Linked DNA regions of Caenorhabditis elegans. The protein of the gene in region 3 interacts with the protein of the main gene of each other region in a biochemical or structural test. Each region holds a gene or a part of one and is shown on either strand. Other genes may lie near its edges.

Evidence for each region. Proteins that work in one complex are often made in the same cells at the same time.
Region 1: the proteins of sun-1 (region 3) and lmn-1 form a complex in vitro, tested with the Caenorhabditis elegans proteins (one study listed by BioGRID).
Region 2: of the proteins of sun-1 (region 3) and cdk-1, one has a biochemical effect on the other in vitro, tested with the Caenorhabditis elegans proteins (one study listed by BioGRID).

Annotation. Positions count from the first base shown.
Region 1 is NC_003279.8:8,761,287-8,766,191, reverse strand, and holds lmn-1 (Lamin-1), read right to left. Parts: upstream 3,152-4,905; 5' UTR 3,137-3,151; coding exon 3,039-3,136; intron 2,950-3,038; coding exon 2,865-2,949; intron 2,817-2,864; coding exon 2,703-2,816; intron 2,548-2,702; coding exon 2,314-2,547; intron 2,262-2,313; coding exon 1,221-2,261; intron 1,137-1,220; coding exon 1,008-1,136; 3' UTR 561-1,007; downstream 1-560. UniProt on the Caenorhabditis elegans protein: Major component of the nuclear lamina, a fibrous layer on the nucleoplasmic side of the inner nuclear membrane. Provides a framework for the nuclear envelope and probably also interacts with chromatin.
Region 2 is NC_003281.10:9,745,948-9,749,412, reverse strand, and holds cdk-1 (Cyclin-dependent kinase 1), read right to left. Parts: upstream 1,942-3,465; 5' UTR 1,940-1,941; coding exon 1,760-1,939; intron 1,710-1,759; coding exon 1,503-1,709; intron 1,455-1,502; coding exon 1,299-1,454; intron 1,248-1,298; coding exon 921-1,247; intron 874-920; coding exon 745-873; 3' UTR 561-744; downstream 1-560. Other genes in the region: T05G5.4 (uncharacterized protein), read right to left, coding at 1-46, 93-195, 263-376, 420-473; iff-1 (Eukaryotic translation initiation factor 5A-1), read left to right, coding at 2,260-2,360, 2,808-2,937, 2,982-3,134, 3,253-3,390, 3,440-3,465. UniProt on the Caenorhabditis elegans protein: Plays a key role in the control of the eukaryotic cell cycle. Required for entry into S-phase and mitosis. Acts as a component of the kinase complex that phosphorylates the repetitive C-terminus of RNA polymerase II.
Region 3 is NC_003283.11:13,191,154-13,195,525, forward strand, and holds sun-1 (Sun domain-containing protein 1), read right to left. Parts: upstream 2,386-4,372; 5' UTR 2,375-2,385; coding exon 1,993-2,374; intron 1,947-1,992; coding exon 1,843-1,946; intron 1,800-1,842; coding exon 1,596-1,799; intron 1,552-1,595; coding exon 1,132-1,551; intron 1,085-1,131; coding exon 773-1,084; 3' UTR 549-772; downstream 1-548. Other genes in the region: F57B1.1 (G-protein coupled receptors family 1 profile domain-containing protein), read right to left, coding at 2,842-2,991, 3,048-3,131, 3,178-3,330, 3,375-3,555, 3,601-3,730, 3,774-3,897, 3,953-4,096, 4,370-4,372. UniProt on the Caenorhabditis elegans protein: Involved in centrosome attachment to the nucleus. Required for zyg-12 localization to the nuclear envelope. Together with pot-1, it is required to anchor telomeres to the nuclear envelope in embryos.

The DNA of each region.
Region 1 (4,905 bases), on a different chromosome or scaffold from region 3:
TCGAAAATTTCAATAAATAAAATAAGCTTCTTGCTTCAAACCTACTATTCGATCAGTAACCTCAGTTTATTTCTCATTTATCAGTTTTACTGTATGTCGGAATGAGATACCGTAACAATTCTCTTTGATGATTTCCCATAAAAATGTCCATCTCATTTTACATTTCGACAATTGGACAACGCCAGCAAACTAATCGCAAATGTTTGACTTTTCCACAGCCGCTTTGACAAAAGGGGTGTGAAAAAGGCGTATTAATTCTGAGATTTTACGAGTTTTCGAATCGAGGCTTGTTTAGATTTACAGTTTTTGAACTAAACGGGCTTATTTTTGTCAAGAAATTCGAACCAATTACCGTATTCAATACGTTCTCCTCTATTATTGTGTGATGCAATGACCTCACTTAACCGACTGTCATGTGCTCATTTGAGCTCAATAGTGAATAGATTCGAAAAGAAAAACAGTTGGCTTAATCGGTACTTGCATATCCTAATTATATGTCATAACCATCTTAGAAATGTATGGAATAAACCTAAAAAAATAGACGATAGACGAGTTGTAAAGAAAGAAAAGAAATATTTCATGTTTTTGAAGTTAAATAAACGAAATACACTTTGAAATTTTAATGAGCGACACCGATCGGTAAGTTGGAAGAAACATCATTGGAAGACAGGGAGTTTGATTGATGCTTTTGTTGCAAATGGTTAAAAACGAGCTATTTTACATTTTGACGGTGAGCTCAATGAATTCAAAAAAATGGAAATTGGATCTAGTCTTAGGGAAAGGTGTGTTCTTGGAAAGAGGGCAGTGAAATTTCGAGATTTCCTTAAAACAAAATTATTGCCATATTCTAGTATATTAACAACAAGAACACGGTTAAAACGTAGGAGGGACAGAGAAAAAGAAGAGGATCAGTGTAACTCTCGAGGACAACACAACAAGAAGGAATATTAGGAAGAGATAGATGTAAAAATGAGGTCCAAATGGATTGATGTAATATCGACTCTCAATTACATGATGGAACAACGATCGGCTGGGTCCGATGGATCCGATGATTCGCTGAATTCAACGGTGATAGAAGAAACAGTGTCTCCTTCACTATCCTCAAGACGAGCTGATGGGTTATCTCCAATTGGCCACTGAAAATTGTAATTACAATGAACATTTTTTGTTTCTTCTATTCATGAAAGTAAGACAGAAATATTTTAAAATAATTGACCAACCTGTTGCTTCTTCATAACGTAGACTTCTGGTGGGTGGTGAACGGCACCAGCATCCGCAGACCAAACGGTGGCGCTAGCATGTGGAGCGAGCTTCATACGAGATGAAAATTGGAAGGAGGCTTCTTTGTTTCCAGCTTTGACCACCAACTTGTATCCTCCGATGGATTGTTCTTCTTCAGAGTTGTTTGCAACACGGACCCACTTTCCTTCCTCATCAACCTCGTCGATTCCAACTGGGCCAACAGTCTCTTTGTTGAGTTTGGAGCGACGGTTGAGATAATCAATGTCTTGGTCCTCTCCATTTACATCGACAACGCGACGACGCTTCACTCCGCGCTGAGCGCTTGCTCCTCCGGATGAAAACGAGACGTGATGAACTGAAGTGTTTTGTGGCGCCTCCTGAGTAAGATTGAGACGCTCCTCCTCACCCTCAAGGAGAGCTTGGTAGGTCTTGAGTTCGGCGTCCAATTGGATTTTAACATCAAGAAGATCGTGGAACTCGCTCATCATGCGCTCGATCTCTTGATTAAGTTCAGCAATTCGAGCATCCTTGTCGTCGAGCTTCTCTTGGAACGATCTCTTCAGAGTGTCGAGCTCTGAACGAAGACGTTCGATGAGCGAAGCATTTCCACTGCTTGATGTCTCCAAGTCACGAACACGGGCACGAAGATGGATTGCTTCGGATACAGCCTCCTCTTGGCGTTCACGAGCAGCATTGAGCTTGTTTTTGTAGGCATCTTCGAAAGCTGTTTTGTTTTGATGCAAATTGTTCTTGAACTGAGCACGCATCTCTTCGATTTGATCTTGAAGCTTAGATTGATACTCATCATTAATCTGCTTGGCGTAGGTTGTCATGTCGACCTGTCTCTTGTGACGAACTTCTTCAAGTTCTCCCTTGTGCTGTTGAAGAGCAAAAGCGAGATCTTCTTCCAGAGCCTTGATTTTATTGTTGGCGGCTGTTCGGAGAAGAGTTTCATCTTCAACGGCTTTCTTGAGTCCTTCTACGGTGTCACGAAGAGTGATGTTCTGCTTTTTGAGATCCTGAAAACAACAAAATTGAACATTTACTTTTGATAAAATTAAAATTTCTTACATCATTCTCCACCACCAATTTATCGTTGCGTGCCTGCAACGTCTTCTGTTTTGCTTGACTTTGATCAGCAATAGATTGGGCATGGAGGGCTTGTTCCTCAGCTCCAGCGAGTTCTCTCTCAAGTTTTTCGACTTGTGGCTTCAACTTCTTTACTTCAACCTTTGCAGCGTCATACTCGATCCTGTATTTTGCGAGCTCATCTTGAGCCGAATCGAGGGCACGACGGAGACGAGCCTGAAAATACAAATAATCTATATTCCAACACTTATCATTCGTCCAAAACGAGAGCTTATATTTGCATTGTTACTTTACCGCGGCGAGAATAATAAGACCACCGCATCAGTTTCCCACAGAACACCTTTGGCGATCAGAATATAAACAAAGTGTACCTTTTCCGCCTCGAAGCGATCGGCCAAGTTTGACTTCTCTTTCTTTTCAACAACTTCGATGTCGCGAATTTGAACCTGGAGTCTGTTGTTCTCTTGCTCCAATTGACGAACTTTCTGAAAAGTGTACTTTCAAATATGAATACTTTCCAAATTAAAACTCACGTCGATGTAAGTGGCAAGACGACTGTTGAGTGAAGTCAAATGATCTTTCTCTTGAAGACGTGAAGTTTCTAGAAGCGTTGAGCCACTGAAAAGCATTTCATCGAGTTTTTTTTTAGATAACACAAGAAATGCGTTTATGAGTGCAGGAACTAGAGAAGCAAAATAAAAACTCACAATGAATCGTCGCCTCCTCCATTGTTGCTTAGCGACGAATTCGCTGAGCGCTCTAGCGTAACAATACGAGAACTACGAGTACCTTTACGAGATGACATTTTTCTCGCTGCTTTCTGAAGAGTTAATTATATTGGATTTAGTTTCAGAAATAGACAAAGAGAGATGTAAGAGAAGAGAGGAAACGTCATAGGCGCCACACGAACGTGACTCAACATTTTGATATTTCTTGTGATAAAATTTTTATACAACAAAAGTTTTCTGTCTCAAAAGAAGTGTGGCAAACATGCGGACACGGCCGTTGTGTATACCACTTCGGAAAGCGTGTGTTTGTCGAAAAATCTGGCGCTGTTAGGTTATTTGCGAGTTACGGCGCGCCAAGTGACCTCAAAATCGGCAGATGGCAGTATTCCACATAGATGTGTGTTGTTTCGTTTTTTAAATGTTTCAACAGAAAGAAATATAGTAGAGAAATAAGGAACATTTGTGAGAGTGACGTAAACAAAAGCATAAACATAGTCAGTAAGTAGCGTTGAATTCAAACATTAGGCAACTCGGCAAAGAACTACAATTGTCAAGGTATACTCAACTAAGATTTACCTCGTTTCAATAGTTTTTTGAAACTCTCGTGAATAAGAATGCTTTAGCAGGGCGTTATCACCTCGCCTTCAAAAATCATCTGCGCACTTCCACAAATTGCCGATAGAACTAGGCAGATGGGACTGAAATGATTAGAGAAAAAGAGAGAAAAGGGAATTTCTCGCATACTTGTTTGGTTTTGATTGACCGTCCATGTCGCGTCAATTTGAAAGTAACAAAATTTCGAAAATTTAGGGAGAATTTCGAAATTCGATCAATCAAAACTTTCGGACTACTACAAAAGAGAAATGACCTGATAAACTATAAGATAGGATATCAAATTACACAAATTAGTGTAAAAAAGTTGCATGAGAGGTGATATGTAGGAGTTTCGAGGGTTCAAAAACGATGAAAAACGCTCGATCTTGTTTCGAAGGGCAATGGCCCAGGCCAATGCTCTCTCTTTAGTCGCGCGAGTGAGCGCTGCGTACCCCTTCATCTCTGATCTCTCCCGTTTCGCGCACTATTTTCAAGTTTTTCTTTCGTTTTTTATGCTCACGGTCCCAATGACTAGAGAAGTAGAGAAGCAGGAAAGACGTGTGCATATGGTAAACAACATACATATACACAACTTGGCAACATGCCAGTACAGGGTTAAATAGAACGAATAATGGAGAGGCATGATGAGAGTATTAGAGAAGTGGTCAAACATCTGAAATTTTGAGGTTTTGCCGCTTTTTTATATGGATAGTGTAAATTTTGAAACTCGGCGATTAACAATAAACATGTACCATTGAAAGACATATTCAGAGCCAGATGAAGGAAGCGAGAAATCATAAGCAGTCTTGTGTGAGAGAAGACAATGTCGTTCTTCTTTGGTGTTTGACACAGAATGAATGAATTCTAGAGAAGGAGGCTGAGAAGAGAAGGAAACAACATCTGGAAAGAGCACTAGAGCGTCGACGCACAGAGACAAAGGGCAATAAATCAATGGGAGAGTGTCATTTTGGCGCGTTGACAGTTTTTATCTCATTTGATGTGACCATGTGGTAGAATATTAGTATAGCACGAAAATTAGAAGCTAAATTTCTATTATGAAGGCGAGATTAGCCGCGAGAGAGAAGTTTGGTGAAATGAAAAGAATACGAAATGAAAGAGTAGGAAAACAATTTTCTCTAGACACCTGCATCTCTAAAACACATTTGATCCCTAAAAAGATTGAAATGAAAAAACAAGAGAATCGATTAAATGTGAGAGGAACTTGGGCAAAACATGTCTCTTGGTAATATGC
Region 2 (3,465 bases), on a different chromosome or scaffold from region 3:
TTTCGATTTTCTCTAAAATTCAAATACTGCTCAAAATCCTTGTCTTCTGAAATTTCAGATATTCGAGAGAATGAATAAATATTAAACAATACCTTCCCGGTAATAGTTTAAAATATCTTTCCTAGACTGATTCTTCTCATAAAGATCAGCTTTGTCCATCAAAATAGAAACCTTCGAGTGATGAATGTAAATGTTCTAAACACAATTATTTTGATTTATTCTCTAAATTGTATTTAATCCTATATATAGGGATATATCCTACCGGTCCCAATTCTAATTGACGTGCAATTGGAGACCACGAACGATAAGTGAATCCCCAGTAAAGATCATCGAGGAATTCTACAATCGATGGGAAGAAGAAAATTGCAAGAATAATCTTAATAGCTCCAGTTAGATTAGTTTTCGTTACCTTAGCTTACGTGCGAAATGTTAGACAGAGAAATTACGAATATTGGAATCACTGCAGCGATCATTCTTCAGAATGGAAAAATAATAATAATGAATTCTTAATTCCCTATTCTCATTTACACGTTGAACAAAGTGCTTGAATAAAAAAGAGCATGAAAGTAGAGCGAATTTATTTATCGCGGTGTGAAAAAAGAGATTACTCATGAATATCGAAGGGCCAAATAATCATCGTACAGGTAAAAAGTTGAAATGGTGATAGTTAAACAATACACGGAAGACGATAGGTGGTTAAAGCACGGGAGAATAAATAATAAAAATGATGATGAATGAATTACATCAAAAGAGTTCGAGTTCTCCTCGGTAATTTCCAGCTGGCAGCTTTGACGTATCCATGTTGTCAAAATAAGGATGAACGAGAGCTTTTTTCGCGTTGAGACGAAGTGATGGATCGTAGATCAGCAAACCCTGAAAATATTATTTTACTTGTTAAAGTACTATTTTAGAAATCTTACTTCAAGAAGAGAGAATGCAGTATCGTCCAAAAGGTGCTTTCCAGTCTTCTTGTCGTAGAACTTGTCACGGAGGAAATTCTCACGCCATTTTGGGAACGTCGCCTTGTAGTCCGGAAGTGATTCAACACCATTCCATTCCAACTCAGTCGGTGTGCCGAGAACTCTGAAGATGCGGAACAGCTCATCAATTTCTGAATCTCCTTGAAACAGTGGCTTCTTCGTGGCCATTTCAGCAAAAATGCATCCAATCGACCACATGTCTACGCCCATCGAGTATCTCTGAGCACCCATCAGAATTTCTGGAGCTCTATACCAGAGAGTGACAACCTGAAAACCGGACAATCATTGTATTGGTGTACAGAATGAATGCAAACTCACTTCATGCGTGTAAACGCGAATCGGGATACCAATAGCTCTGGCAAGTCCGAAATCGGCAAGCTTGATTGCTCCATTGTTGTCGACCAGCAAGTTCTGTGGCTTAAGATCGCGATGAATAACACGACGCTGATGACAAAAACACATAGCTTGAAGAATCTGGAACAATTATTCTTGTAAAGACATCGATTTTAAATATTTCCTCACTTGGAATGTGTAACTTTTAAGAGTTTCGAGCGGAAGGTATTCATCTTTTCCCAACTGATCCATGTATCGTTTCAAGTCGAAAGACAGGAATTCGAAGATCAGGAAAAGCCGGTTCTCCTGCATAATGACCGCTTCCAATCCAACAACATTCGGATGCTGGAGCTCTTTGAGCAAGCTGATCTCTCGCACAGCCGTTGATGGAACACCCTATAAGAATTATTGTTTGAAAAAACGAAACTGCTACAAAATTCAAATACCTCATCTTCACTTTCCAATCTGATTTTCTTCATAGCAACCATGGCATTGGTTCTTCTGTTTTTGCCTTTGTAGACGACTCCGTATGTTCCTTCGCCGATTTTTTCGAGCTTCGTGAAATCGTTGAGTGTGTAAACCGAATCTCCCTCGTGGGCCACTTCTCCTTCGCGAATAGGATCCATAACTAAAATTGGAAATGAATTTTGTCAGAACAATTGTAATACAACGATAGAAAAGGCGTAAGCGTGTAATTTTGAATCATTTCCACTGCCGCCGAAAAGGGGGGACAGTCGGTGCGAGACCATTGCTTAGTGAAAAGGCATGCACCTTTGATGACAATTTATTCCGAAAAGGAGAGTACGCGCTGAGAAGGATTGTTGTGAAACATTGCATTCATATGATAAAATTTAACGCAAAACTGTGCAGAAAAGAGAATAAATACAGGCCGGAAAATATAAAAATAACTACTCAAAATAATCATAAACTTGATTTGTTCTACTTTATGAGGCTTCCAACAAAACTAAACAGAGTTTCAAAGAAAAATCGTAATCTTGGCTTCGGAGGGTGGATGGCGAGAGTTGCTGCCCCGAAGACCATAGAGAGGTAATTTTTATTATTTAATTTTACATGATGAAAGCGAAATTTGGCAAGTAAGCAACGAATGCATTTTTAGGAAATTATTTATTCAGATAAATCAAAAAATAGAGCAGATTCCTTGAAATCCTAAAAAAGTGAGGACTTCGATTCTGTCTGAAGATGGAAGTTGGCGCCAAATTTTTGGCTGCGTAGCGACTCATTCTTCATTGTGATACGCAGCCAAACAACGTCCTTTCAAAAAAATTCGCGCATTTGATTTTCTCTCGATTTCTATACTTTTCTCAGGTTTGTACAGTGTTTTTCTTGCTAAGATCAATATTTTATTAGAAATGCATCAAATTTCTCAATCAAAACAATTTTTTCCTGCAAACCTTTTTTTCCAAATTTATTTTTTGAATTTCTCGTTGGAAACTAGTTGAAAATGCTAAAATAATTGATAAATCTTTGTTGCAGTATGTCCGAAGATCATCACGACGAGGAGCAATTCGACTCTGCCGAGTCCGGAGCTGCTGCTACTTTCCCGAAGCAATGCTCGGCTCTTCGCAAGAACGAGCACGTCATGATCCGAGGAAGACCATGCAAGGTAAAAAATAATTCAGTGAATTTTCCTAATTAGAAATTTTTTAGATCGTCGAGATGAGCACCTCCAAGACTGGAAAGCACGGACATGCTAAGGTTCACATGGTTGCCATCGATATTTTCACCACCAAGAAGCTTGAGGATATCTGCCCATCCACCCACAACATGGACGTCCCAGTCGTCAAGAGACGCGAGTACATTGTAAGTTGTTAATTAGTTTTTAAGAAGGCTTTCAAAAAAATCAACTTTGGACGGTTAAACAAATCTTTTGAAAAATGAGTTAATCAGCTGTAAAAAATGTTATTGATCAAATTTTCAGCTCATGTCGATCGAAGACGGGTTCTGCTCGCTCATGGATCCAGAATCTTGCGAGCTCAAAGACGATCTCAAAATGCCAGAAGGAGACTTGGGAAACACTATCCGTGAGGCTCTCGAGAAAGACGAAGGAAGCGTCTTGGTAATTATTTCGACATCCACCTTTTGAATCTGAAAATTTTGATTTTCAGGTTCAAGTCGTTGCTGCCTGCGGAGA
Region 3 (4,372 bases):
AACAGTGGTTTTCTCCTAAAAATGACATTTGATCCTCCAAAATCGTAGAAATATCCAAACTAATGCTGCTCTTTCAAACCAAACACTTTTTGAAAAAATTTTGAAAAATTATTTTTGAAGAAAAAAAATGTGCATATATCAGGTGGGAAAAAAGTGAAAATTTATCAAAAAAAGAAAACTTCCAAAAAGTTTCCAAATTACTTTTATGATTCCCAGGAACCAAAAAATTTATTCCGAAGTTACCAAAAAACGAAAGAAACCGTGTTTTTGTGCATATTTCATGCTAGAGGAAAAATTCAAAAAAACGAAAACGGCACTTTGAGCAAAAAGAGGACTACTTTTTAAGGCCGAAAATTTCAGCTTTGGGGCAGAGTTAAGCAGATTCCAAAAAATGATTTTTGTAGCCAAAGACCTCATCTGTCATTTAAAGTTTGTTTTGTCCTCCTAGCGATTGCAGGGGTAACACCATTCCCTAGTTAGCAGATGCGAAGTTTTCTCTTGTAATCACCACTTCCCTGCTGCTCTCGTGCTTAAAATTCAGAACACAATTTAAAACTTTGAAACTTTAGATTAGAACTTTCAAGAAATAAACAGAACATGACACATTAATAAAAAATGAATAAAGCAATGAAATACAAACGGTAACGTGGATAGTAAAGCGGGACAAAACATTTGCAAACGATTTCAAAGAAGCAATATTGAGATTCATAGTCAGTGGGGAACGTGAAAATGATATAAAAACAAGTTGGGCAGGAACAATAATACGGCGTTTCTATGCGGTTTCTGATACAGAGTTAACAATTGCAGATTCCAACTTTGATTCAGTTCCATTATCCGTCATTGGTTGCGTTTCCTTTGGTGGATCGACTGGTTCCCCGTAAACACGAATCAAATAAGCACATGTCTTTGGCATATCTCCATGATTTTCGCGGAAACGGAATTGCACGTGATTGATCGGTGAGTGATTTTGAATTGTTGGCACCGAACAGAATTGTTCTTGCTCGTCATAACTTCCATCACGTTCCTTATATTCACAGTTGGCGACAAGAGGCTGCCATTTGGTGCAACATGAGTCCGTGCATGCCTGAAAATATATAATTAGTTACTGAACACAATTTTTATATAGCTTACCACGACATCGTAGAGCTTCGGGGCATGATTTGGAACAATCCCGCTCCATCTGACATGTTGATACGAGACACTTTTCGGTATGACAAATCTAGCGAGCTTCACGGTCAAGGTCGCACGTTTATCGTATGTGCACCACGCTTCTCCTGGGGATAGAACGTCGCGATCAAGCAAAGCATATCCCTCCTGGAACGTTCCGAAGTATGACATGAAATCGTAGAAAAATCCATCTTTTGCAGAAACTGGACGTGATGAACAAGAATGATCGATTGATGCACCAATAAGACTGTTGGCAACATTCACTCCAAGAAGTGCTCGGCGTGTTATGTGCATTGGTTGAAGCTGGCTAGAGGGAGGAAGCGATGCAGTTGGTGCGGTCTCTGGAGCCTTTTCTGGTGTACTGTGGATGATCTTTGTGCTTTTCTGAAAAATTAGCATTGGGAAAATATATTAAATTTGAAAATTACCGCATCATCGATTTCCTTTTTCATTTGTTGCAAAGCATCGCTAATTTCTGCTTGCCATAATTTGATCTGTTTGAGCTCTTCGATTGCCGACTCTTTCCATCCTTTGCTGTGTTCCAAAACGTTTTCCAGTAGTTTTTCCAAATGGTCAGTTTTGAAATCGAGTTGTTTATCGTGCGCCGAAAACTCTGCTCGGAGATTGGAAATCTAAATAATATAAAAATTTATTCTGACTGTTCATTCATTGTACCGTCTGATGAAATTTCTGTTTTTCGGACGCCCAATTCGCGTCTTTATCCGCGTAGGATCCTTCTGAATTATGATGCGTTCCATCGAATAAACAATCACGAGCATCTGAAATTATTCATTTAGATACCCACAACACGTTTTCCCGACTCACACTTGTATAACATAGCAAAAAGAACAACAGCCATAAGAGTACGTTTAAACTGGGCCCACGTTGGAACAAAACGACGCCGAACCATGCGAATGCGATATTCCAGCCAGTCATACCACATTTCCTTCTTCATCGAAGTGATTTCTTTGTAGCTAAAATGCTCCTTGTAAATAAATTTCGAAGAGTTCAGATCAATTTCAGAATCGTCAGCCGACTCATGAAATCTCTGAATGGTGCCTGTAATCGTTCCAGGTTGGGAATCTCGCCGAGTAACTGGAGTAGATGTGTCTAGCGGCTGATGAACTCCTGTTCGAGATACAGAACGGGTAACTGGAGGACTGTGGCGATTCGAAAACTGCGGTGAGATGGTGTGTCGCAACGCCATACCGAGTAGATCTGGAAGTTTAGAAAGAAATTGAATGAAAAAAGCCTGTGCGGAATTGTAATTTGGAAATTAAGAAACAATGCAATATTTTCAAGAGCGAGAAAGTTGTTTCAATTAAAATAATTATGAATTAATTGAAGTTTAACTGCACTTTACAAAGCATAAACTTTTTAAATGCTTTATATTTGTCTTAAAACAAAAAATATCCGAACTGAATTCGAAAAATGAAAAAAAAAACCAGAAAATCGAAACCTCGAATTCAAGCAGCCCCGCACTGATTGCGGCAATTCTCAAGATCGCGTCGAGACCCTCACCGCTGACGTATTGCACCTTTGAAAGTTACTGTAGCAGTAAATATGATTTGGCAGGCACAGAAATTTTTTGCGAAGAGTTTGTTCTCATTAAAACACGAGTATTTATTCTAATATTGGCAAAAACATTTTAGAAACTGATTTTAGTAATAAAAATTAAATCGCTCTCGAAGTTTGCCTTCTCTGCTGTGAGTTTGAATTGGCTTGTGAAGTAGTGAGAGAAACTCTCACAGAAACGAGTTTCCGAATTTCTTTTGAAGTGAAAAAGAAGAAGCACGGCGTTGCAGCTCCAGCGCATATTTCAGTCTGCAATACGGATAATTTTTCAAGATTGCTATGGAAAAATTAAAAAAAAAACGAACCGTATTAATAATCCGTTTTATCAAAAATGCAGTTGCTATTTCAAACTTGATAGTTTGGCATAATAGGAAAACCGACGATGAAATCTGGAAATTTTTTTTTTCATTTTTTCGTTCTTAAATCAAACAGGACCTGAAATAGGCAAAATATAAAAACCGCCTGTTTCAAAATAGTGAGCTCGTATTTGTTGAGTGCTGCTTTTTTCATTAAAATTATTTTAATGATAATTGCAATATATATTCCCAGAATAAATATTGGAAGAATAAATTGTATTAAAATTTCAATCTGAAAGTGTTTATTGGACTGGATATTTTCATTATTGTGCTTACAGTTTGTACAATTGTCGGTGGAGCAATATTTTTAATTCCACTACTAGTTTCACAACTCAAAACATAATGTTTCATTAAAATTCGTTCATCATATTCATATTGGCAGTTATTCATAATCATAGACACTACAACAAAAGCAGACAATACCCATACCATTCCCATCCAAAAGTATGTTATCGGTCTGGGATTAGTAGATTAAAATTCCAAAAATTTCAGAATTCCCTACTTTTCAAAAGCAATATCCGTGTGTTTTTTGAAAAAGAACACAAACATCCGATGTATTGCAATTATCAAGTTTGAGAAAAGTATTGCATTATGACAGAAATCGATTACATTGGACATGTAGTAGAATGAGGCTGAACAAAAAAAATGATTCAAAATTGATTCAAAAAAAGTTACCGGATTGAACGAATTCCTTGGTTATCAAAGCAAATAATGTCGCTGGTACATTAATTAAAAAGTTTAAAGAAGACATTATGAAAACAGAAATGGTCAGTTGAGTTAAAAACCAGAAAAATATCATCTGAATTTTTTCAATAAATTCCTTGGAAAAAGTTATGTAAAACGTGTTTCATTACTTTTTTGAAATGGCTCCAAAGGATCACAGAAAGAGCCAAGAAAACTCCAGTCAAAATAGTTGATGCAAATGTGGACATAACAAACAAGGTGATAATAAAATAATAGAGCCCATCCTTATCTTCTGGTGGAATGTTACCAGCTACCTTACAAGTTAAACATTTAATCTGCGACAACTATTTCATTTCAGCTAGTGTTTTTTCAAGCTCAACTGGTTCAAAACTGAATACCAGCGAAATTTTTCGAATTATTTTTTGAAAAGCTGAAGTTGTGGTAATTTACCAAAATTTTAACAAAGTTCAATCTAAAACATATTGGAGTTTAGAAATGATATTTGCAAAATTTTAAAAGATGAAAAAAGTTTTGAATTCAGGTTTCACCAATATTATAATTTGAAAATAGATTTTAGACCAACTGACCTC